Macaca fascicularis: one gene and its partners. The protein of the gene in region 3 purifies or fractionates together with the protein of the main gene of each other region. This does not show direct contact. Links are inferred from orthologs where the notes say so. Each region holds a gene or a part of one and is shown on either strand. Other genes may lie near its edges. The genes, in order: CTNNA1, PLEKHA7, CDH1 and SKP2.

Region 1 (5,107 bases), on a different chromosome or scaffold from region 3:
AATTCAGATATGCATTCAAAATTGTGGGGGTTTTGGGGAGCAGGGAATGTATCTTATACCATGATTGCTACATATCTGCATTGGAGAAACTTCTGAAATAAGAAACATATAAAGTCAACTTTAAAAATCACCTACAACAATTAAATGCATTTTGAAAATAAATGTGCCCAGGCACAGTGGCTCATGCCTGTAATCCCAACACTTCAGGAGGCCAAGGCAAGCAGATCACTTGAGGTCAGGAGTTCGAGACCAGCCTCCAATAAGGTGAAACCCCAACTATACTAAAAATACAAAAATTAGCCGGGTGTGGTAGCATACACCTGTAATCCCAGCTACTTGGAAAGCTGAGGCAGGAGAATCGCTTGAACCCAGAAGGTGGAAGTTGTGGTGAGCCAAGATCGCACCACTGCATCCCAGCCTGGGCGACAGCAAGACTCCAACTCAAAAAAAGAAAGAAAAGAAATGTCAATCACTAGACCCAGCAAACACTTGTCCAAACTCATCTGTTAATATAATTGTGAGCTTCGTTATAGCAGACAAGAAGGGCTGGGGAGGAGAATGTACCACAGAATACAATTAAGTAATAGCCTGATCTCTTCAACATCAAGCTCAAAAAAATTGTCCTGAACTGGACCATTAAACTACTTTAAAATAAATTAATTCAAAACCCACTGTACTGGGCTGAATAGCATCGCCCAAAAATTCACGTCCACCTGGAACCTGTGAATGTAACTTTATTTGGAAACAGTCTTTGCAGATGGTATCAAGTTACAATGAGGTTATACTGGAGTAAGGTGGGCCCTAATTCAATGCTTGATGTCCTTATAAGAAGAAGGAAATTTGGACACAGAGACACAAAAAAAGAAAAGTATATGATAACAAAAGCAGAGACTGGAGTAATGAGTCTACAAGCCAAGGAATGCTAAGGACTGCTGGCAACCACCAGAAGCTAGGAAAAAGGCATGCACAGATTCTTCCTAAGTCCCAACAAGGAATCAAGCCTGCCAACACCTCGATTTCAGATTTCTGCACTTCAGAATCATGAGAGAATAAATTTCTATTATTCTAAGCCACCAAGCTTGTCATAGTTTATGTTACAGAAGCCCTAGGAAACTAATATACCTGCTTAATTAGTACTGTGGAATTCTAATAATTTCATTTTCAGTATTAGAAATATTTATCTTCAGCCTGAAAACTGAAAAAATATTTACCACTGAAGGTTATTTGTTCACAAATTCAGAAAACAACTGGAGATGTCATCTCCATCTAAGACACTGCCCATTTTAGGGTACTGCCACAAGGATGAATTTGACATAAGACTCTGGACTATGCAATCTACCATCAGGTATGAAAGATCTATGAAGTTCTCCCAAGGGCTAGTAGAGCACCTGTAAATAGCAGGGCTCAATTTACCTTAGCTGATAGCCAATAACCTAAAAAACCTACAGCATTGTTGAAATTCTCTGACTGGAATAGAAACCTAACACAAAACCACAGGTTTCAAGGGTGGGGGCTGTGGCTCATGCCTGCAATCCCAGCACTTTGGGAGACCGAGGCAGGTGGATTGTTTGAGCTTGGGAGTTTGAGACCAGCATGAGCCACTGGTGAAACCCCATCTCTACTAAAAATAAAAACTGCAGGTTTCGAGAAGTTTACTTTCCATATTTAAAGTCTTCCTTCCACACTTGTAACACAGTAAGGACAATTTTTCTAGCATTAATTACTGGTAAACTGTGGATTACCATTTTACTTTTTATCAATTCTGAGTTTCCCAAAACATGATTCCTTTATGCCCAGATTTATTTAAGTCAAGCTCCAACCAGTGCAAATATGCATGGCTGATTTAACATACTAATCTGACATAACAGAACAATTTCTAGAGTATTTTCAGAGTAGGTATTTTTCTATTTTATCACACCCATCTCTTCAGCATGAATTAAAAAGTATTACATAGAATGAAAGGTAAACTTCTGTCCCATGTTTCCTATCAAATTGTGTTACAACATTTCTAAGACTTAACTATTACTTGAAACACCCAAGAGAAGTGGATTCAGATTCTCCAGATGTCCCTTTGCAAGCATCTCTCATGATTAAAATTTGAGCCAGTCCAACTTAATACATCTCCGATAACTAAGTTACTGAGCAATTGGCAAGCATGAGAATGAGAATTAAAATATGATCCAGTCCAAGTTAATACATCTCCAATAACTGAGTAAGTTACTGAGCAATTGGCAAGCATGAGAACTGAGAATACTGACCACAAAAAAAATCTCCTTCAAACACTTATTTTCTAGAAAGGCCTGCCTCTCTTTACATGAAAAGCAGTAATGACCTACCTTGTTTTCGAACATCTTCTACAGCAGCCACAAGCTCCTCCTTGAGAAACTGGCTCTCCTTCGCAATTTTATCCCCCTTCTCCAAGAAATTCTCAGTTGCTTGTTCAACAGATGCAGCCAAAACATGAGCCTTCTTAGAACGACCTCTCTTCTTATTAGAGGGCCCCTTACTATTGGTGTTTACCAGGGTTGTAACCTAAAAGTTTCATTTTTAACATTAAACTGGAGTCAATTAAAATGACTAATATCTTTAAAGATAGCAAGATTAAGTTATTCTTTAAAAAAATCACATTTATGAGATTCCACTGAGCATTAACATACAATTCCCCATATTTAAGATATACAGCAATGATACTATATTTAATTTCCAAAATAACTCAGCTTTCTCAATGTGTACAGAATTATTTAACACATATTTTAATTTCTCAAATATGATCATTAGGTTTTTAGTTTGATTTTACAAATTAAAAAATGATTAGAGACAAGCTAGATGTCTCTACTATATGTCACCCATATAGTATCTGGAACACTCTATGTTCCAGAAATAGGTTAACAATGAACTTAGCTTTATCTGGAGATCGTACTGCCACTGTTTTCAAACTTTGCAAAATGTTTTAAGATAATTTGCTTCTGAAGTCTTTTCACGGTTTATTCACACAAATCTCAGCAATTTATTAGTAAAGGCCCCTAATAAAGGAATGACTGCCCAAAGAAGCCTACAGTGATGATGCTTTATGTCCTAGAACATTACCATCATTAATACACATAATACCGGATGATCTGTAGGTTAAAGATGATTAAGATATGTTACAGTGCAAATTTGCCAAACAAGACTCATTTTCTCTCTCTCTCTGAATCTCTCACATACAGACAACAGACACACTATTGCAAAACACTAAAGGTACACAGCTAGTTGCTAACAGTTTATGAACCACCCTAACATTGTGACATTTATAACATAATATACCAAACCTAAACCCTCAAGTTCAATTACCTGCTAATTAATCCCACACAATGAAAGGTGTGTTAAGCAGAGTGAGACACCTTAACAATCAAGGATCCAGATCCCACCTTTCTTGGGTTTCCCCTCTAAAGAAAGGTGAAGTATCTGCAAAGCACAAACATTTGCAAAGTTGCACTACATACCACGGACCCCAGTTACTAGCAATAAGACCGAAGAAAATGACCACAGCAGCGTTCTCAAAGGGTTAAACAAACCCATGCATCAATATTCAAATCATCTAAGAACTGTCACCTAAACTCAAGTACTGGAATTAAGGCTTTGAACTAAATAACCTTGCTCTTATGGTTGTTACCCAGGCCTGTACTATAGAACCAGGTTACAATGTATTTGTGTTTTCAGATTCTTACCTGTGTAACAAGAGGCTCCAACAGTCTCTCAACTGCCAGAGTCCTGATCTCTAGACTTTTGGGATCCCACTTGAAGTTTATGTTGCCTGCCTGGACAGCAGTCATTTCTAAAAAAGAAACAAAAAATCAGTCAAGCAAACATCAAACACAAACATGAAATATGTAACAAATCTTCTCCTACTTAAATCTTCTCCTACTTTGGGACTTTTGCATCAGGAAAGTTATATTCACTACAGATGAAAAAATTCTAACTAGCCTGCACATGAGGACCCAGTAAACCTTACAATCTCTTAAAATTTAATCATTTCAGGCTTACAAATACTAGGGGTACTACAAGAGGGCATTCCCAAACACACAGAACGTTTCCCTTTGGGCTTCTCTAGCGCAAGACTTCCTACTTCAGTTCCTACTCAGTTTATCTGCCCAATCTTTTAGAAACAAGATGAAAAGCTAAAGTAAACCTTTTTTTTTTTTTTTTTTTCTTTTTCTTTTTTTGAGACGGAGTCTCACTCTTTCGCCCAGGCTGGAGTGCAGTGGTGTGATCTCGGATCACTGCAAGCTCCACCTGCCGGGTACACACCATTCTCCTGCCTCAGCCTCCCAAGTAGCTGGGACTACAGGCGCCCGCCACCACGCCCAGCTAATTTTTTTGCATTTTCAGTAGAGACAGGGTTTCACCGTGTTAGCCATGATAGGATAGTCTCGATCTCCTGACTTCGTGATCCACCCGCCTTGGCCTCCCAAAGTGCTGGGATTACAGGTGTGAGCCACCACGCCCAGCCGAAAGCTACTTTCAAAGACATTGCTTCAAAAACGAATACAGAAGATCCTGATTTTTCCTACTCCACAACATTTATGGTATAGTAGTATCTAAAAGGTATGCCTCACTTCATTTTTTGATGGATTCCTAGAGAAGGACTTGTCCTATTCTATTAAAACTTAATGCTTAATCGGTTGCCCTCTGCACCCACAGCTATTATCACTCATAGCCAGAAGAAATTTCAAATCACACTTAGTCAAATATCACTGTATCAGTGTCAAGGGAAACTTCTGTCAGACAGCAGCTTTAAGAATAGGGAGAAAACATCAACGAAAATAACAGTCTTTTCTTCTAAAAGTAGTGCCTTAAATTATTAAAGAAAAAAAAAGAAAAGGCATGAAGTTGAGGTAAACACTAATATAAACTTTCTAGACAACGAACTGCTGGTAGACACCTAAAAGCATAAAGGCTGGGCGTGGTGGCTCACTCCTGTAATCCCAGCACTTTGGGAAGCCAAGGTGGGCAGATCACCTGAGGTCGGGAGTTCGAGAACAGCCTAACACAGAGAAACCCTGTCTCTATTAAAAATACAAAACTAGCCAGGCTGCTGGTGCACGCCTGTCATCTCAGCTACTCAGGA
Region 2 (5,107 bases), on a different chromosome or scaffold from region 3:
GCTCGGGGATTTGGGGTGCTGCTAGCGGGGCAGTGGAGAGGTGAGGGTGGACTCTGACCTTCCAGGCACTGTAGGCAGGCAAGGGAGTGAGCTGCAGAGCCAGCCGGGAAGGGCGTATGGGTGGGAGCACGGCTCTGAAATGCTTTGCATAGTTTACATTTTGCTTCTGACAGAATGAACAATGGTTAGTCAAGTCCCGAACTCCCCAGAGGAAGCCTCCAGCCTGGTTTCCGCCACCGCTACCACCTCAGTTTTGAGGATTCAGGCACTGCCCCGTCTCAGAGGCACATTTGTGTCTAACTTTGGGAAATCAATAGCAAACCCTGCCACCTAGTGACAGGCTGACTCACTTGGCAGGCGCGACAAGTAGGTTGAAGAGATCTTAAAGTTATCTCCTGCAATGGCAAAGATAGCTTTATTTGAATGACAACTATTTCAAATCCTCACAGCAATTTTCAAAATGGTTCTTACTATCCCCATTTTGTAATAAGGAAAGTGAGACTTAGAGGGCTTGGATGATACTTGCCTGAAGTCATATAGCTAAAGTGATTAAATGAGTTGAGTTTTAAAACAATTAGAACAGTTTCTCAAACTTTACAGAGCACTAGAATCTCCTGGAGGGCTTGTTAAGACACTGATGCCTGGGCGCCATCCCCTGATTAGGTAGGTCTGAGGTGGGGCTGATAACAAGCATTTTAAAAATATATCTTATTTTTAATTGACAAATAACGATTATATGTATGGGATAGATGTGGTGTTTTAATATATGTATACATTGTGAAATGATTACATCAAACCAATTGACATATTCATCACCTTATCTGCTTATTCTTTTTGGTGATAAGAACATTTAAAATCTACTTTTAGTAATTTTGAAATATACATTATTATTAACCATTGTCACTATGCCTGTGCTGTAGGTCACCAGAACTTATTCCTCCTAACTGAAACTTTGCACCCTTGGACCAACAGCTCCTCTTCCATCTCTCTTATCCCTCCCAAACCTCTGGTAACCACCTCTCTACTTTGTTCTTCTATGAGTTTGACCTTTTTAGATCCCACATATAAGTGAGGTCATACACAGTATTTGTCTTTCCATGCCTGGCTTATTTCATTAACTTGCATTTTTAACAAGTCCCCAGGTGGTGCTGATGCTGGTGGCACACAGGCCACACTTTGAGTAGTGTTGGCTTGGAACAATGTCTGCAACAATGTCAGCACCAAATAAATGTTAGATAAAATTGATAGGTGAAGGCGGAGTCAGAATTGACCTCAAGCCTGTCTGACTATAAAACTTGTTTTCTTTTTACAACATCATGCTGCCTCTCAGGCTTAGTAAAATTCCATACTTCGTCCCTTGCTTAATTTTTTTTCCTTCTCAGAAAATAAAGTGGAGGCTGGGCACGGTAGCTCATGCCTGTAATCCCAGCACTTTGATAGGCTAAGGCAGGCAGATCTCTTGAGGTCAGGAGTTCAAGACCAGCCTGGCCAACATGGTGAAACCCTGCTTCCACTAAAAATACAAAAATTAGCCAGGCATGGTGGTGCACACCTGTAGTCCCAGCTACTCAGAAGGCTGAGGCAGGAGAATCCCTTAAACCCGGGAGGTGGAGGTTGCAGTGAGCAGAGATTGCACCACTGCACTCCAGCCTGGGCAAAAGAGCAAGAATCTGTCTCAAAAAAGAAAGAAAATAAGATGCCTAGTTGGTGGTAGTTTTTGAAATCATATCCAGCTTTGTGTGCTGGAGTGTTTATTGAAGGGCTAATTATGCATAGGACTTTCTTAGACTGTGGACAATACCATGGTCTGAAACACAGCTCCTGTCTTTCAAGAATTTTCACCTTGGCCTGGGAAAACATGTCTTGCAAGTATGAAAAGATCACATCAATATAGGACCTTGGAAAAGTTACAGGCAGTGTGATAACTAGGTCAAACAGAGCTGGATCACTGAGGGCTGTGGCACTGCAGAAGGTCCACATGGGGAAGGCATGGGCCAGCATCCTGGAGAATGAGTAAGACTTGGGTAAATAGAGCAAGGGGAGACCATCCAGGTAGGGGGAGGGAAGAACAGTGTTATAAGAGTAAGGAGGGACAGGAAGGGTACACACGTTAGTGAAGGACCTTCTGTGTATCAGACATGGAGATTGCATTTCCTAACCTGTCTCATTGATTCCTCAGAAGAGCCTTATGAGGCAGGTAATACTGTCCTCATGTTAGAAGTAAGGAAATGGAAGTTCAGAGTCAGGTAAGCTGCCTAGGGTCACAAAGCCAGCAAGTATAAAGCTCGGCTTCAAACCCAGGTTAGACTCCTACCTTTCCTTTTTCCACTGCAAGATATTGCTCAGGTGTGGAGGAGGCTGGGCCAGGACTAGGGTGGGGCTGACTGTCAGGCACCAGCACGTGCAGGGGTGACCCTGAGATGGAGTACTTCCTTCAGTTTTGGGCCCTAGGCATTTGGCGTGGCCCTGGTAGGAAGAGCAGTGAGAAAATAGCAGGCCTGCAAGGTGGGTTGAGGTCAGCTGCTAGCGAGCTGTGAGTACCAGGCTGAGGAGTTTAGACTTTATTTCACAAGTGACAAGGAGCCATAGAAATTTTTGAAATAGGGAACTGATTTGATCAGAGCACTTGACTGTGGACAAAGTAGAAACCAGTTAGGAGCATCTCAAAGTTATCTGGAGGGAGATAATTAATCAGTATCTGGTCTAGAATAGTCCAGAAAAAAGAGAACTGATGCCAGCTACTTCCTTTATGAACCTCCAGAACTTGGTGCTAAGGATACCAAGCAGAGAGAAAATCTTGGTAACCTGGAGAATTGTGAGGCCTTTTCTATAAATATGCACAGCCGTGGAAAGAGCTGACTGCTGGCAGTGGAGAGAGAAGGAAAAGCCAGGTTTAATCACATTGCACTCCAATTGATGGGCATGGGGTAGCCAAGTTGTCCTGGCAGAGGAAGTTGACAGAGAAAAATGGTTTTGGAGTTGTCTGCAAAAAGGGGAAGTGACTGAAGTCCTGGATGTCAGCCTTGATCATTCTTTTGGGGTTCTCATAGGACTCTCCCACATGCCCAGCTTTGTGGGTTTACTTAGGTATATTCCCCAAAGCCTGGCAGAACCCTCACTTGGTGGCCTGACGTGTTCTTACCTTTTCTTCTCAGTCTTCCCTTGGACCAGACGCTTCCTCGCCAGGGTCCTGGCCAATCCCTGTCCTTCCCAGAAAACTACCAGACTCTTCCCAGGAGCACCCGACACCCCTCGGGGGGCTCCTCGCCACCTCCCCGAAACCTGCCAAGTGACTACAAGTACGCGCAGGACCGAGCCAGCCACCTGAAGATGTCGAGTGAAGAGCGCCGGGCGCACCGGGATGGCACCGTGTGGCAGCTCTATGAGTGGCAGCAGCGCCAGCAGTTCCGGCACGGCAGCCCCACGGCACCTATCTGCCTCGGCTCCCCAGAGTTCACTGACCAGGGCCGGAGCAGGAGCATGCTAGAGGTGCCCCGCTCCATCTCTGTGCCTCCATCTCCCTCGGACATCCCTCCCCCGGGACCCCCAAGGGTCTTCCCACCCCGGCGGCCACACACGCCAGCAGAACGAGTCACAGTGAAGCCACCGGACCAGAGGAGGAGTGTGGACATCTCACTGGGGGATTCTCCAAGGAAGGCACGGGGCCACGCTGTCAAGGTGAGGCTCGAGAAGCTCTGCCAGGCTGCTGGGTCAGCGTGAGGGTGCCAGGAGCCTTGCCTGGTTTGAACACAAATTTGAGTAATTTGGGATAATAATGATAGCTAATACTTAGGCAGTACATTTAATTTACATTTAAGATGCCAGGCACAGTTCCCAAAGGCTTCGCTTTAAATTCTCACCACAACCCTGTGAGGTAGGTGCTATGTTTATGCCCATTTCAAAGATGAGAACTCGGCCGGGCGCGGTGGCTCACGCCTGTAATCCCAGCACTTTGGGAGGCCGAGGCGGGCGGATCACAAGGTCAGGAGATCGAGACCACGGTGAAACCCCGTCTCTACTAAAAATACAAAAAATTAGCCGGGCGCGGTTGTGGGCGCCTGTAGTCCCAGCTACTCGGGAGGCTGAGGCAGGAGAATGGCGTGAACCCGGGAGGCGGAGCTTGCAGTGAGCCGAGATCGTGCCACTGCACTCCAGCCTGGGCGACAGAGCGAGACTCCGTCTCAAAAAAAAAAAAAAAAAAAAAAAAAGATGAGAACTCTGAGGCGCGGAGAGACAAAGTAACTTGCAGGGGGTCACACAACTACAAGTCAGCTTCCTTGCAGCTTGAAAGGCAGGAAAAGACATGTGTCCAGTCAGTTAAACTATTTATAACAACCCAGCTTAAGTTTTCACTTTCCAAGGGCTTTCACCGTTTAGTGTTCTAACCGTAAGAGTAAGATACGTGTGCTCATTTCATAGATGAGGAGTCTGGGGCTCAGAGGGGACCCAGGTGGCATGGGGCGGGCTGCCCTGGGAGTGGGTGGCAGAGGTTTGGGCTCCAGTGTGACTTCTTGTCTTCCCACTTGCAGAACTCGTCTCACGTGGACCGACGCTCCATGCCCTCCATGGGTTACATGACCCACACCGTCAGTGCTCCCAGTTTACATGGAAAATCGGTAAGGTGAATGACAAGACACAGCCTGCAATGCCCTATCTCATCAACGTTTTCCTTCCTCTGAGTCAGTACAATGCAGTCCACAGGGCAGCTATCAACTCCCATTTTAGAGATGAGGAAACTGAGACTCAGAGAAGTCGAATGACTTGCTTAGGGTCACCTGGCTGTCACTGGGTCCCCAATGAAGGGGAAGAGCTTGTGGGGGAATGTAGGGGAATGTTAGGCTTATCTCCTCTTTCAAGCTGAATTTTGCCATAAATGTTTTCCAGCTACTCACCTTTTTCCGCAGGTAGTGCCTCTCCTCTCTTCCCTGATCTTTGATTAATTAATTAGTTAACTCTATCTTCAAAGCTTGAGTCCGAGACCAGGCATGGTGGTTCATACCTGCAATCCTAGCACTTTGGGAGACCGAGGTGGGTGGATCACTTGAGGCCAGGAGTTCAAGACCAGCCTCGCAAACATGGCGAAACCCCGTCTCTACTAAAAATACAA
Region 3 (5,609 bases):
TGCAAATCGTAGGTTTGGGTGAACTCTAAAGGTCTCTTCCAGGTCAACATCAAAAAACAGACTGAAAACTGCAGCTCCAGCTGGAAGACGGACCACATGAGATGAAGCTGATTGTTAGAAGAAAGGCCTGGAATCAGAGAGGTCGGTTCCAGTCCTGTGCCTCCTCTCATTGGCCTCAACCTCTCCAAGCTTCAGTTGCCCATCTATCAAATGAGAATAATAATACAGCTCTTGGGTTGTTTTGAAATGAGCTTAAATGAGCTGGTCAGTGGCTGGGCACAGTGGCTCATGCCTGTAATCCCAGCACTTCGGGAGGCCAAGGCAGGCGGATCTTCTGAGGTCAGGAGTCGGAGATCAGCCTGGCCAACATGATGAAACTCTGTCTCTGCTAAAAATACAAAAATTAGCCAGTTGTGGTGGCGCATGCCCGTAATCCTAGCTACTCAGGAGGCTGAGACAGGAGAACCACTTGAACCCAAGAGGCGAAGGTTGCAGTGAGCCAAGATCACACCATTGCATTCCAGCCTGGGAGACAGAGCAGGATTCCATCTCAAAAAAAAAAAAAAAAAAAAAAAAAAAAAAGAGCTGGTCAGTGTCAAATGCTTAGTACAGAGACTGGCACAGTAATCTTCAATGCCTAGCACCTATCGTTACTGTTTTTTTTTTTTTTGAGACAGACTCTCCCTCCGTCACCCAGGCTGGAGTGCAGTGGCGCGATCTCAGCTCACTGCAAGCTCTGCCTCCCGGGTTCACACCATTCTCCTGCCTCAGTCTCCCAAGTAGCTGGGACTATAGGCACCCACCACCATGCCTGGCTAATTTTTTGTATTTTTAGTAGAGATGGGGTTTCATTGTGTTAGCCAGGATGGTCTCGATCTCCTGACCTCGTGATCCGCCCGCCTCGGCCTCCCAAAGTACTGGAATTACAGGCGTGAGCCACTGCACCCGGCCCTGTTGTTACTATTTTTACCCCTCACTTCTGTACAGAGCATTTATGGCTCAAGAAACATTTGTCATTTATTGTATGGGAGCCTCACAACAACATAGGGAGACATTTCTGATCATTATTCCCATTAGGAGGGTGGAGAAACTGAGGCTTTGGGAGGTGGTCCTGACCTAGGGAATCAATTTGCTGACTCACTAACCCATGGAGCCCTGCAGTTAAAAAAAGACTAGATTAAAAAATAAGAACTCAATAAAGGGGCTGAGGCAGGAGTATCACCTGAGGTCAGAAATTTGAGATCAGCCTGGGCAACATAGTGAGATCCCGTCTCTAGAAAAATTTTTTTAAAAATTAGGCCACTTGAGGCAGGTTGCAGTGGCTCACGCCTGTAATCCCAGCACTTCAGGAGGCGGAAGAGGGTGGATCACCTGAGGTTAGGAGTTCCAGACCAGCCTGGCCGACACAGTGAAACCCCATCTGTACTAAAAATACAAAATTAGTTGGTCTGGTGGCACAAGCCTGTAGTCCCAGCTACTCAATAGGCTGAGACAGGAGAGTCGCTTGAACCCAGCAGGCAGAGGTTGCAGTGAGCCAAGATCGTGCCACTGCACTCCAGCCTGGGCAAGACAGAGTGAGACTCTGTCTCAAAAAACAAACAAACAAAACACACAAAAAATTAGGCTGCTAGCTCAGTGGCTCGTGGTTCACACCTATAAGCCCAGTACTTTGGGAGGCCAAGGAAGGAGGATCACTTCAGCCCAGGAGTTGGAGACCAGGCTGGGCAATATAGGGAGACACAGCGCCCCCACTGCCCCTGTCTGCCCCGACTCGTCTCTCTACAAAAAGACAAAAGAAAAAAAAAATTAGCCTGGTGTGGTCGTGTGCACCTGTACTCCCAGCTACTAGAGAGGCTGGGGCCAGAGGACTGTTTGAGGCCAGTTCAAGGCTGCAGTGAGCTGTGATCGCACCACTGCACTCCAGCCTGGGTGAAAGGGTGAGACCTCATTTCCAAAACAAACAAAAAAACAAAAACAAAAACAAACCCCAAAAAACAAAAGAACTCAGCCAAGTGTAAAAGCCCTTTCTGATCCCAGGTCTTAGTGAGCCACCAGCGGTGCTGGGATTCGAACCCAGTGGAATCAGAACCGTGCAGGTCCCATAACCCACCTAGACCCTAGCAACTCCAGGCTAGAGGGTCACCGGGTCTGCGCGAGGCCGGGGGGGCGGGCCGTTAGCTCCGTCCGGGGGAGGGGTCCGCGCTGCTGATTGGCTGTGGCCGGCAGGTGAACCCTCAGCCAATCAGCGGTACGGGGGGCGGTCCCTCCGAGGCACACCTGGCGGCAGCAGCGCACCCCAGTCTCAGTGGCGTCGGAACTGCAAAGCACCTGTGAGCTCGCGGAAGTCAGTTCAGACTCCAGCCCGATCCAGCCCGGCCCGATCCGACCGCACCCCGCCCCTGCCCTCGCTCGGCGTCCCCGGCCAGCCATGGGCCCTTGGAGCCGCAGCCTGTCGGCGCTGCTGCTGCTGCTGCAGGTACTTCGGGTCCCCTGCCTTGCGAGGGACGCGTGCGGGCCGCACACTCTGCGCCCCAGCCCCCCGCCCCAGCCCTGCGCCCCTTCCTCTCCCGTAGTCACCGCTTCCCTTCTTCCAAGAAAGTTCGGGTCCCGAGGAGCCGAGCGGCCTGGAAGCCTCGCGCGCTCCGGACCCCGCAGTGATGGGAGTGGGGCGTGGGTGGTGAGGGGCGAGCGCGGCTTTGCTGCCCCTCCAGCGCAGACCGAGGCGGGGGCGTCTGGCTTCCGAGTCCGCGGGGTGGGCTTGGGCTGGCGCGGGGGTCGTGGAGCGGGGTGTGGGGGGTGGGGTGTGGAGAAGGGGAGCCCCGGTGCAAGTCGAGGGGGAGCCAGGAGTCGTGGGGACGATCCTCGAGGGAAGGAGAGGGGCATCCGTAGAAATAAAGGCACCTGCTATGCCAAGAAAGGTCGTAAATAGAAGTGGGAGTCCCGGGGATAAGAAAGTGGGGTCGGGGGAGGTGGGAGCGCCCCTCGCTCTAAGGAGTGGTGCATTCCCGGTCTAAGGAAAGTGGGGTTGGGGAGAATAAAGACATCTCCAATAAAATGAGAAAGGAGACCGAAAAGAACGATGGGCTAGGTCTCGAGGGGGTGACTCGGCGGCCCCCTTCCGGGAGTTTCTGGGGGCTTGGCGGCCGTAGGTTTCGGGGTGGGGGAGGGTGACGTCGCTGCCCGCCCTGCCCGAGGTTGGGGGCGGGGGTCCTCCCCCAATCCCGACGCCGGGAGCGAGGGAGGGGCGGCGTTGTTGGTTTCGGTGAGCTGGAGGGAACCCTCCGAGTCACCCGGTTCCATCTACCTTTTCCCCACCCCAGGTCTCGTCTTGGCTCTGCCAGGAGCCGGAGCCCTGCCACCCCGGCTTTGACGCCGAGAGCTACACGTTCACGGTGCCCCGGCGGCACCTGGAGAGAGGACGCGTCCTGGGCAGAGGTGAGGGCGCGCCGCCGGTGTCCCTGGGCGGAGTAGGGTGGGGTTGGAAAGGGGCCGAGAAATTGCACTCCCACACCCCTGGGTTGGAATGGGCAAGCTCTCTCCTTGGCTCAAACGACACCCCTTGGAATTTACACAGATTTGGGGATCCAAACGTTTACGACTGAGCACTGGTGGAGGGGGTAGCCCTGCCTGGTTGTTAACCATGTTATAAAAAAGCAGAGGTTGAGGGCACTTACTAGAAGCCTTCGTATTTCTCTTATTGCCCTCAGCACTGTAGAGACAGTGTCCCATTTCAGACTGCAAAAACCTGGTGGGTGGGAAGGCTCCGGCAGGAATATTCCCGTTTTACAGATGAGCAAACCGAGGCTGAGAGGGTGACGTCTACTTGCCCAGGGTCAGCAGAGCAGGTATCTGAACTGGGACCTGACTCCCAAGCCCCATTAAGCACCATCTCTGGGATGACTGAAGAGCAGCTCTCTCTTGGTTACTGGGCTGTGGCTTTTGTTTATAGATATTAAAGCTTTTTTTTTTTTTTTTTTTTTTTTTTAAAAAAAAAAAAAAGGGTCTTGCTCTGTTTCCCAAGCTGGAGTGCAGTGGCACAATCACAGCTTACTGCAGCCTCCATCCTCTGGGCTCAAGTGATCCTTCCCACCTCAGTCTCCCTAGTAGCTGGTTATCACAGGCATGTGCCACCATACCTGGATAATTTTAACTTTTTTTTTTTTTGAAACGGAGTCTCGCTCTGTCACCCAGGCTGGAGTGCAGTGGCCGGATCTCAGCTCACTGCAAGCTCCGCCTCCCGGGTTTACGCCATTTTCCTGCCTCAGCCTCCCGAGTAGTTGGAACTACAGGCGCCCGCCACCTCGCCCGGCTAGTTTTTTGTAGTTTTTAGTAGAGACGGGGTTTCACCGTGTTAGCCAGGATGGTCTCGATCTCCTGACCTCGTGATCCGCACGTCTCGGCCTCCCAAAGTGCTGGGATTACAGGCTTGAGCCACTGCGCCCGGCCAATTTTAACATTTTTTTAAGGCTGGGCGCAGTGGCTCACACCTGTAATCCCAGCACTTTGGGAGGCCGAGGCGGGTGGATCACAAGGTTAGGAGTTCGAGACCAACCTGGCCAACATGATGAAACCCTGTCTCTACTAAAAAAAATACAAAAATTAGCTGGGCATGGTGGCGTGCACCTGTAATCCTAGCTACTCAGGAGGAGGCAGGAGAATTGCTTGAACCCAGGAGGTGGAGGTTGCAGTGAGCTGAGATAGTGCCACTGCACTCGAGCCTGGGTGACAGAGCAAGACTCTGTTCCAAAAAATAAACTAAAATAAATTTTTTTTAGAAACAGGAGTCTCTCCATGTTGCCCAGGCTGGTGTCGAACTCTTGGGCTCAAAGGATCCTTCTGTCTCAGCCTCCCAAAGTGCTGGGATTGCAGGCCTGAGACACTGTGCCTGAACCAAAATACCTTGTTACAGGTACTGTTTCCCCCAAGAAATAATGATTTTTTTTTTTTGAGACAGAGTTTTAATCTTGTTGCCTAGGCTGGAGTGTTGTAATGGTGTGATCTCAGCTCACTGCCACCTCTGGCTCGCAGGGTCAAATGATTCTCCTGCCTCAGCCTCCTGAGTAGCTGGGATTACAGGTGCCCACCACCATGCCCAGCTAATTTTTTGTATTTTTAGTAGAGAAGGAGTTTCACCATGTTGGCCAGGCTGGTCTTGAACTCCTGACCTCAGGAGACCACCTGACTCAATTTCCCAAAGTGCTGGGATTACAGGCATAAGCCACCATGCCTGGCCAGGAATAATTATCTTTTTTTTAAAAAAAAAGCATGGTAGTTCTGACTCAGGATGAAAATGCATACACCCAATGTACTTCTAGGCTTATCTTTGTGATAATCTAGAGTTTGCTTTGTTCCACTCCACTGTTGTCCAGGGAGCAAGGGAAGGGGCTAGTTTCTCTTCTGAATTCACTGAATCCCGAGTGCTTACTTTATATCAAACCACTTTCTCCTCTCTCATGATTTTAGTTGATTGGATATCACAATAAAAGGCATATTTTTTTTTAAGGAGAAATCACCCACAATTCCCCTGAGGGAACACCTCCATTGTGTCTATTCTTCTGGTCTTTGACCACATGAATCTTTAGCAATCATGCTGTTGTCTTTAAATTTTT
Region 4 (5,107 bases), on a different chromosome or scaffold from region 3:
TCGTGGGTGGGAGTTTAAACTTCTTGGAGGAAAATTTGGCAGAAATTATCCAAAACTTGAGAATAGTACCTAATGCTGGACCCAGCAATTCCACTTTTAAGAATCCATCCTTAGAAATGCATCCAAAGATTTGTCTCTGTCACTCATAAAATTGTTTATAGTAGAGAAAAACTGGGAAGATTCTGAATGTCCATTAGAAGATCAACTGCATAAATTGTTATTGATTTAATATAAATTATTCCATATCCATTTGATGGACTATCACATAGCCACTGATGATGACATAATGTAGCCACTGAAAATGGGGTTATCTGGGGGGAAAAAAGCATATTACAAAGTATTTAATATACTATGTCCCATTTAAAAAAAACAGTGTTTGTACAGGAAAAAGCCTAGCAAGATGTTAGATTATTGATAATTTGCTTCCCTTTGCGTTTTTCTATATGTTGCATTTTTTAAAATGACTGTATAATGCTATGATCAGTTTTAAAATAGTAATTATAAATACTGGGTGGGGAGAGTGGTAAGAAATGAAGACATGATTGCTGCTTTTACGGCTTGCTAAAGAAAGTATTCACCTTGTCTGAAAATGCAAGTGTTTGGAATGGCAGTAGTCCAAATTTGAGTCCTTGCACAGGTGAAAGACTCAAATCTCTGCCCACTCATGAGAGGCTAGCAATTATTTTCTATAGCTTTATACATCTTACCAGAGGACGTCTGTCCTGGAGAAGTAGTTTTATACTACTTAAATTTTAAGATATATTCTGCAGATGTTTGATTCAAATCTTTTTCAGAATAATAAAAACTATAATAAACAAAATACACTCAAATAAGCTAGTACTAACATCGAGATACGGTTGATGTGTGTTGCTGGTTTAACTAGGTTTTGCATAGCCCACAAACTGAATGTTGGCCTGCGACGGTGAAGCCATTTAAAAAACTTGCCATTTGTAATCACTTATCTTTGCAAATCAAGATTTTCTCATTAACATACAAGTAACATACAAGATTTTCTCATTAACATTCAGTAACAAAGCGTAACTGAATATTAAGGTTTTTAAAGACTGTTCCCTGCTACCCCTGACTCCTAAGGCCTGTTTTCATCTAAAAAACCTCGTTGCCCTCTTGGACTGAATAAAAAGTAAAAGTCATAAATATGAACTTATTAACAGAGTTAATAACAGAGTTTTTCAACCTTGGAACTGATGTTTGGACCAGATTATTGTGCGTAATATGCTCCATCCTATACACCGTCCAGCAGCATCCTGGCTTCTGCCCAAGGAAGACCAGCAGCATTCCTACAGCTGTGACAATAAAAAATGTCTCCAGACATTGACAAATGTCCCCATACAGACAAAATAGCCCCATTAACTAATGAAGAACCACTATTTAATACTAATGAAATGCTACATTTATGTATTTTTATGTTGGAGTTTATCTAATCATTTAGTTGATTAAAAGTTTTTCTGCTTAAAAATAAATTGTTTTCAAGTGTAAAGGTTTCTACTGTTAGATCCTGAATTCAAACCTTGGCTCTAGCTCACTAGCTGTTTACCTTCACCTAACCCTTCTGATTTAGCAGCCACCTCATCTGCAAAAGGGGACTAACACATGCACTGGATTAAATGAGAAAACTTATGTGGAGGAACGATTAGGAGAAGCTCAATGAATCTCATCTATTACGTTGTGAAGGCCTCAGTGGTTCAGGCTTGGAAGCTCTAACCTGATTTCTGGAGGTTCTTTCTGTAGCCGCTAAGATTCAGCTGGGTGATGGTCTCTGACACATGCGCAACTGCCACCTGTACATGCTTTTCAGTGAAATCAAAACACCAGGAGAGGTTCAGCTCATCCAGTCTGCACAAAAGAGGGGTAATAAAGAAAATATGAAACCATGAAACCAATTAAAACTCACAGGAATGAGTTTGCCTCAAACCGCAAACAAAGAAAATGCAAAGCCATTGATTCCTTATCATTTCATGCATAGAACACCTGCTTCTCTAACAGCAGCTACCTCTAGTCTCCTAAGTATACCCTGTTTGCCCCTGAAAGTTGCCAGGGGATCAGAAGGGCCTTGGTGAATGCTGCCTCCTCCTGGAAATGGAGAGAAGCACTCTCTTCCTGATGGCTCAAACCTTATTCCAGTACTGCAGATAGAAATGCTAGTCTTTTATGTTTGCCTTCTCAGACTACCAACCACCCAACACAGACTGAACAATCACTCAGGATGTTTTATACAATTGAAGGATTGCACAAAAGAGATGCTGACATTGCAAAAAGCCACTTCATCTTACTGTGCCTCTGCTAACTGAGCAAAAACGAGGGTTTCAGAGACAAAATACAACCATGAATCCCCACTCCCCACTTCTGGCACTGCTGACTAAATATAGGGCTATACATTTGATCTCACTGATATCATTCATATCCGGAGGCAATCTATTTTAAATGGACCATTAACAAGACACAGATGTACCATGGAGACCAAGGGATATTTTTTAAAAACACACATATGCATAGTACTGTGTATTCCAAAAAGCATGTATTCCCCTCACTTAACAACATCTGTAACTCTGTACCCTTTATGTGCTGACATTATTATGAAAGCTATTGTTAATAGAATTGCCCAAATTTATGGTCTATATTTATAAAACACAAAATTTGATCAAAAATTGTAAGTTAGGTCTACAGATACCATAAGGGAAAAAACCTGAATGTATAGTTAAGTGTGAGTTGATTTCTTACAAATATACTGTTGACAGACACTACTATACTTCCCTTTCTTTAATAGTTCCAAATAAACAAAAGAGAGATAAAAAAGTATCGCTTGCAAACTCAATTGACTCGGCTCCTGAGTTTGGACAGAAAGTTTAGAGGACAAAAGACGCTGCATTCACCAAATCAAGAGCCTGGAAAGTTACAAAAAGCTCAAAAAGTTCATCCAATTTTATACAGATGTGAGGGATAATTTTACATTTGATATAAGAGTCTATAATCAAGTCACATCTTTCATACCTGGAACAGCTGCTTAGCAAAGTCTTCAGGGCAAATTCAGAGAATCCAGAACATCCAGAAAGGTTAAGCCGCACTAAATTTGAGTTTTGTGCGAGATTACTGGAAAAAGAGAAAAACGTCAGAAGAAAAAGACCAATAAGACGCTATTCATCAACAACATGTAGATGAAAGCAGGCAAGTGTAGTTAAGTTCATAGGTCTTTGAGTCAGTGAGTTTAAAATGTATATCACTATCTCTCAGACATCAAACAGGATAATTTGCCTCAGTTTACTCACCTGTGAAATGGCATTATCAAACCTTCTTGGTAGGGTTATCAAGAAGATTAAATGATATAATGTGATAAAAGACTTACTATGAAGCAAATACACAAGAATATCAATCAATGTACTTTTTGAATTAAAAACACAATGGAATAAACATATATCCATTTCACCCATAATTAGAATTAGCTTGCAAACTTCTACTTGTAAAATCACCAGGTTCTTTTGATTATACATCTCTCAAATTTGCCATCTTCTCTACTACATCCCCAAATGCCCTGTGTTAGTAAAACTTAGTGATTAAGAGTAAGAACTCTGGAAATAGTATATCACTAGGTTCACATCTTGGTTCAGCCACCTACTAACAGTGTGACCCTGAAAAGACTTATTCAGTCTCCCCATGTCTCAGTTTCCACAGCTATAAAAAGGAAACAAGTAAGATCACACTTCATGGGGTTGCTGTCAGAAGTAAATGAAAACGCATTTACAAAATTCACTATCTGGCACATAATACATGCCCCAAAACATTAGCTGCTATTATTGCTATCTGTTTTATATCAGACTTCAAAATTTCTCACTTGAATGAACACAGCAGTATCCTTAACTACTCTAGCTTCTTCTATCCTCGATGGACCCTCCATGGTGCCTGGCAAGTTCATTTCCTAAATTTCAACTCTTGACGTGTTCCTTCCACTCTCAGAACAACTCTCTCCACCATGCTTCCTTTTTTTTTTCAGATGGAGTTTTGCTCTTGTCACCGAGGCTGGAGTGCAGTGTCGTGGTCTCAGCTCATGGCAACCTCCGCCTCCCGGGTTCAAGTGATTCTCCTGCTTCAGTCTCCTGAGTAGCTGGGATTATAGGCATGCACCACCATACCCAGCTAAGTTTTGTATTTTTAGTAGAGACAGGGTTTCACCACGCTGGCCAGGCTGGTCTCAAACTCCTGACCTCAGGTGATCCGCCCACCTCAGCCTCCCAAAGTGCTGGGGTTACAGGTGTGAGCCACCGCACCTGGCCCATGCTTCCCTCTTGATGGAAGAGTCCATTCTTCTTACAGCAAGGCACAGGGGCCTATTACAATCTGGTCCCTGACTCTCCTCACCTCCTGTCATTCCCCTCCCTTAGTCCTGTGCTCCAGTAACTTCCAACCACGTAGAGTTTAGAACCACATAGGAAGCTTTACCTAGACTGGTTGCTTTATCTTATTACCTGGAGATCTCTTACCTAGATATCTTCAATACTCAAGAGTCACTTCCTTCCTCTAAGAAGGCGGCTCCTCGCGTGTTGCCACATATTCACCGAAATATTTAATAAACACACTAGCATGGTAATTATCTGTCTTGCTCATAAATAGTTTACCTTCTTGCAAGAGGAAACAGACATGTCTTGCTCGATGTTTCCTCTTGCAAGAAGGTAAACTATAGCTTAACCAGCATTCACTAACAATGTGGGAAAAGTTTTGGAGCATTCATTTTCTTCCAAATAATACACATGCATTGTTCATCCTTGTATCTCTAGAAACTAGCACAGGGCCTGGCATATAGTTAGCATTCAAGCTTCTGTTGCTTCAATGAGTCCTGAAAAGTTTTGCAGAAGCAAGAGCCCTGCACTAGAAATTTTCTGTATCCACCTGGATATGGCTAGAAGGGCACTCCAGTTATATATATATACAGGGAAAAAAATTCATACACATAAAAACAACTGCCTTTGCGACACTCCGGCTGCCACTCACTTGACAATGGGATCCGAAAGCCGCAGGCCTTCCAGGCTTAGATTCTGCAACTTGGAACACTGAGACAGTATGCCTTGGAGGGTGGACACTTCTATAACCGAGTTCG

The links.
Region 1: the proteins of CDH1 (region 3) and CTNNA1 purify together in Homo sapiens (affinity purification with western blotting; 10 studies listed by BioGRID and IntAct, with this or other methods). This does not show direct contact. The link is inferred for Macaca fascicularis from reciprocal best matches to the Homo sapiens genes CDH1 and CTNNA1.
Region 2: the proteins of CDH1 (region 3) and PLEKHA7 purify together in Homo sapiens (co-immunoprecipitation; 3 studies listed by BioGRID and IntAct, with this or other methods). This does not show direct contact. The link is inferred for Macaca fascicularis from reciprocal best matches to the Homo sapiens genes CDH1 and PLEKHA7.
Region 4: the proteins of CDH1 (region 3) and SKP2 purify together in Homo sapiens (affinity purification with western blotting; 3 studies listed by BioGRID and IntAct, with this or other methods). This does not show direct contact. The link is inferred for Macaca fascicularis from reciprocal best matches to the Homo sapiens genes CDH1 and SKP2.

What each region holds. Positions count from the first base shown.
Region 1 is NC_088380.1:145,281,434-145,286,540, reverse strand, and holds part of CTNNA1 (catenin alpha-1), read right to left. Parts: intron 3,815-5,107; 5' UTR 3,813-3,814; coding exon 3,708-3,812; intron 2,533-3,707; coding exon 2,337-2,532; intron 1-2,336. UniProt on the Homo sapiens protein: Associates with the cytoplasmic domain of a variety of cadherins. The association of catenins to cadherins produces a complex which is linked to the actin filament network, and which seems to be of primary importance for cadherins cell-adhesion properties.
Region 2 is NC_088388.1:48,947,458-48,952,564, forward strand, and holds part of PLEKHA7 (pleckstrin homology domain-containing family A member 7), read left to right. Parts: intron 1-3,155; coding exon 3,156-3,678; intron 3,679-4,529; coding exon 4,530-4,616; intron 4,617-5,107. UniProt on the Homo sapiens protein: Required for zonula adherens biogenesis and maintenance. Acts via its interaction with CAMSAP3, which anchors microtubules at their minus-ends to zonula adherens, leading to the recruitment of KIFC3 kinesin to the junctional site.
Region 3 is NC_088394.1:64,816,013-64,821,621, forward strand, and holds the start of CDH1 (cadherin-1), read left to right. Parts: upstream 1-2,304; 5' UTR 2,305-2,428; coding exon 2,429-2,476; intron 2,477-3,320; coding exon 3,321-3,435; intron 3,436-5,609.
Region 4 is NC_088380.1:36,457,413-36,462,519, reverse strand, and holds part of SKP2 (S-phase kinase-associated protein 2), read right to left. Parts: coding exon 5,002-5,107; intron 3,109-5,001; coding exon 3,010-3,108; intron 1,855-3,009; coding exon 1,724-1,854; intron 1-1,723. UniProt on the Homo sapiens protein: Substrate recognition component of a SCF (SKP1-CUL1-F-box protein) E3 ubiquitin-protein ligase complex which mediates the ubiquitination and subsequent proteasomal degradation of target proteins involved in cell cycle progression, signal transduction and transcription.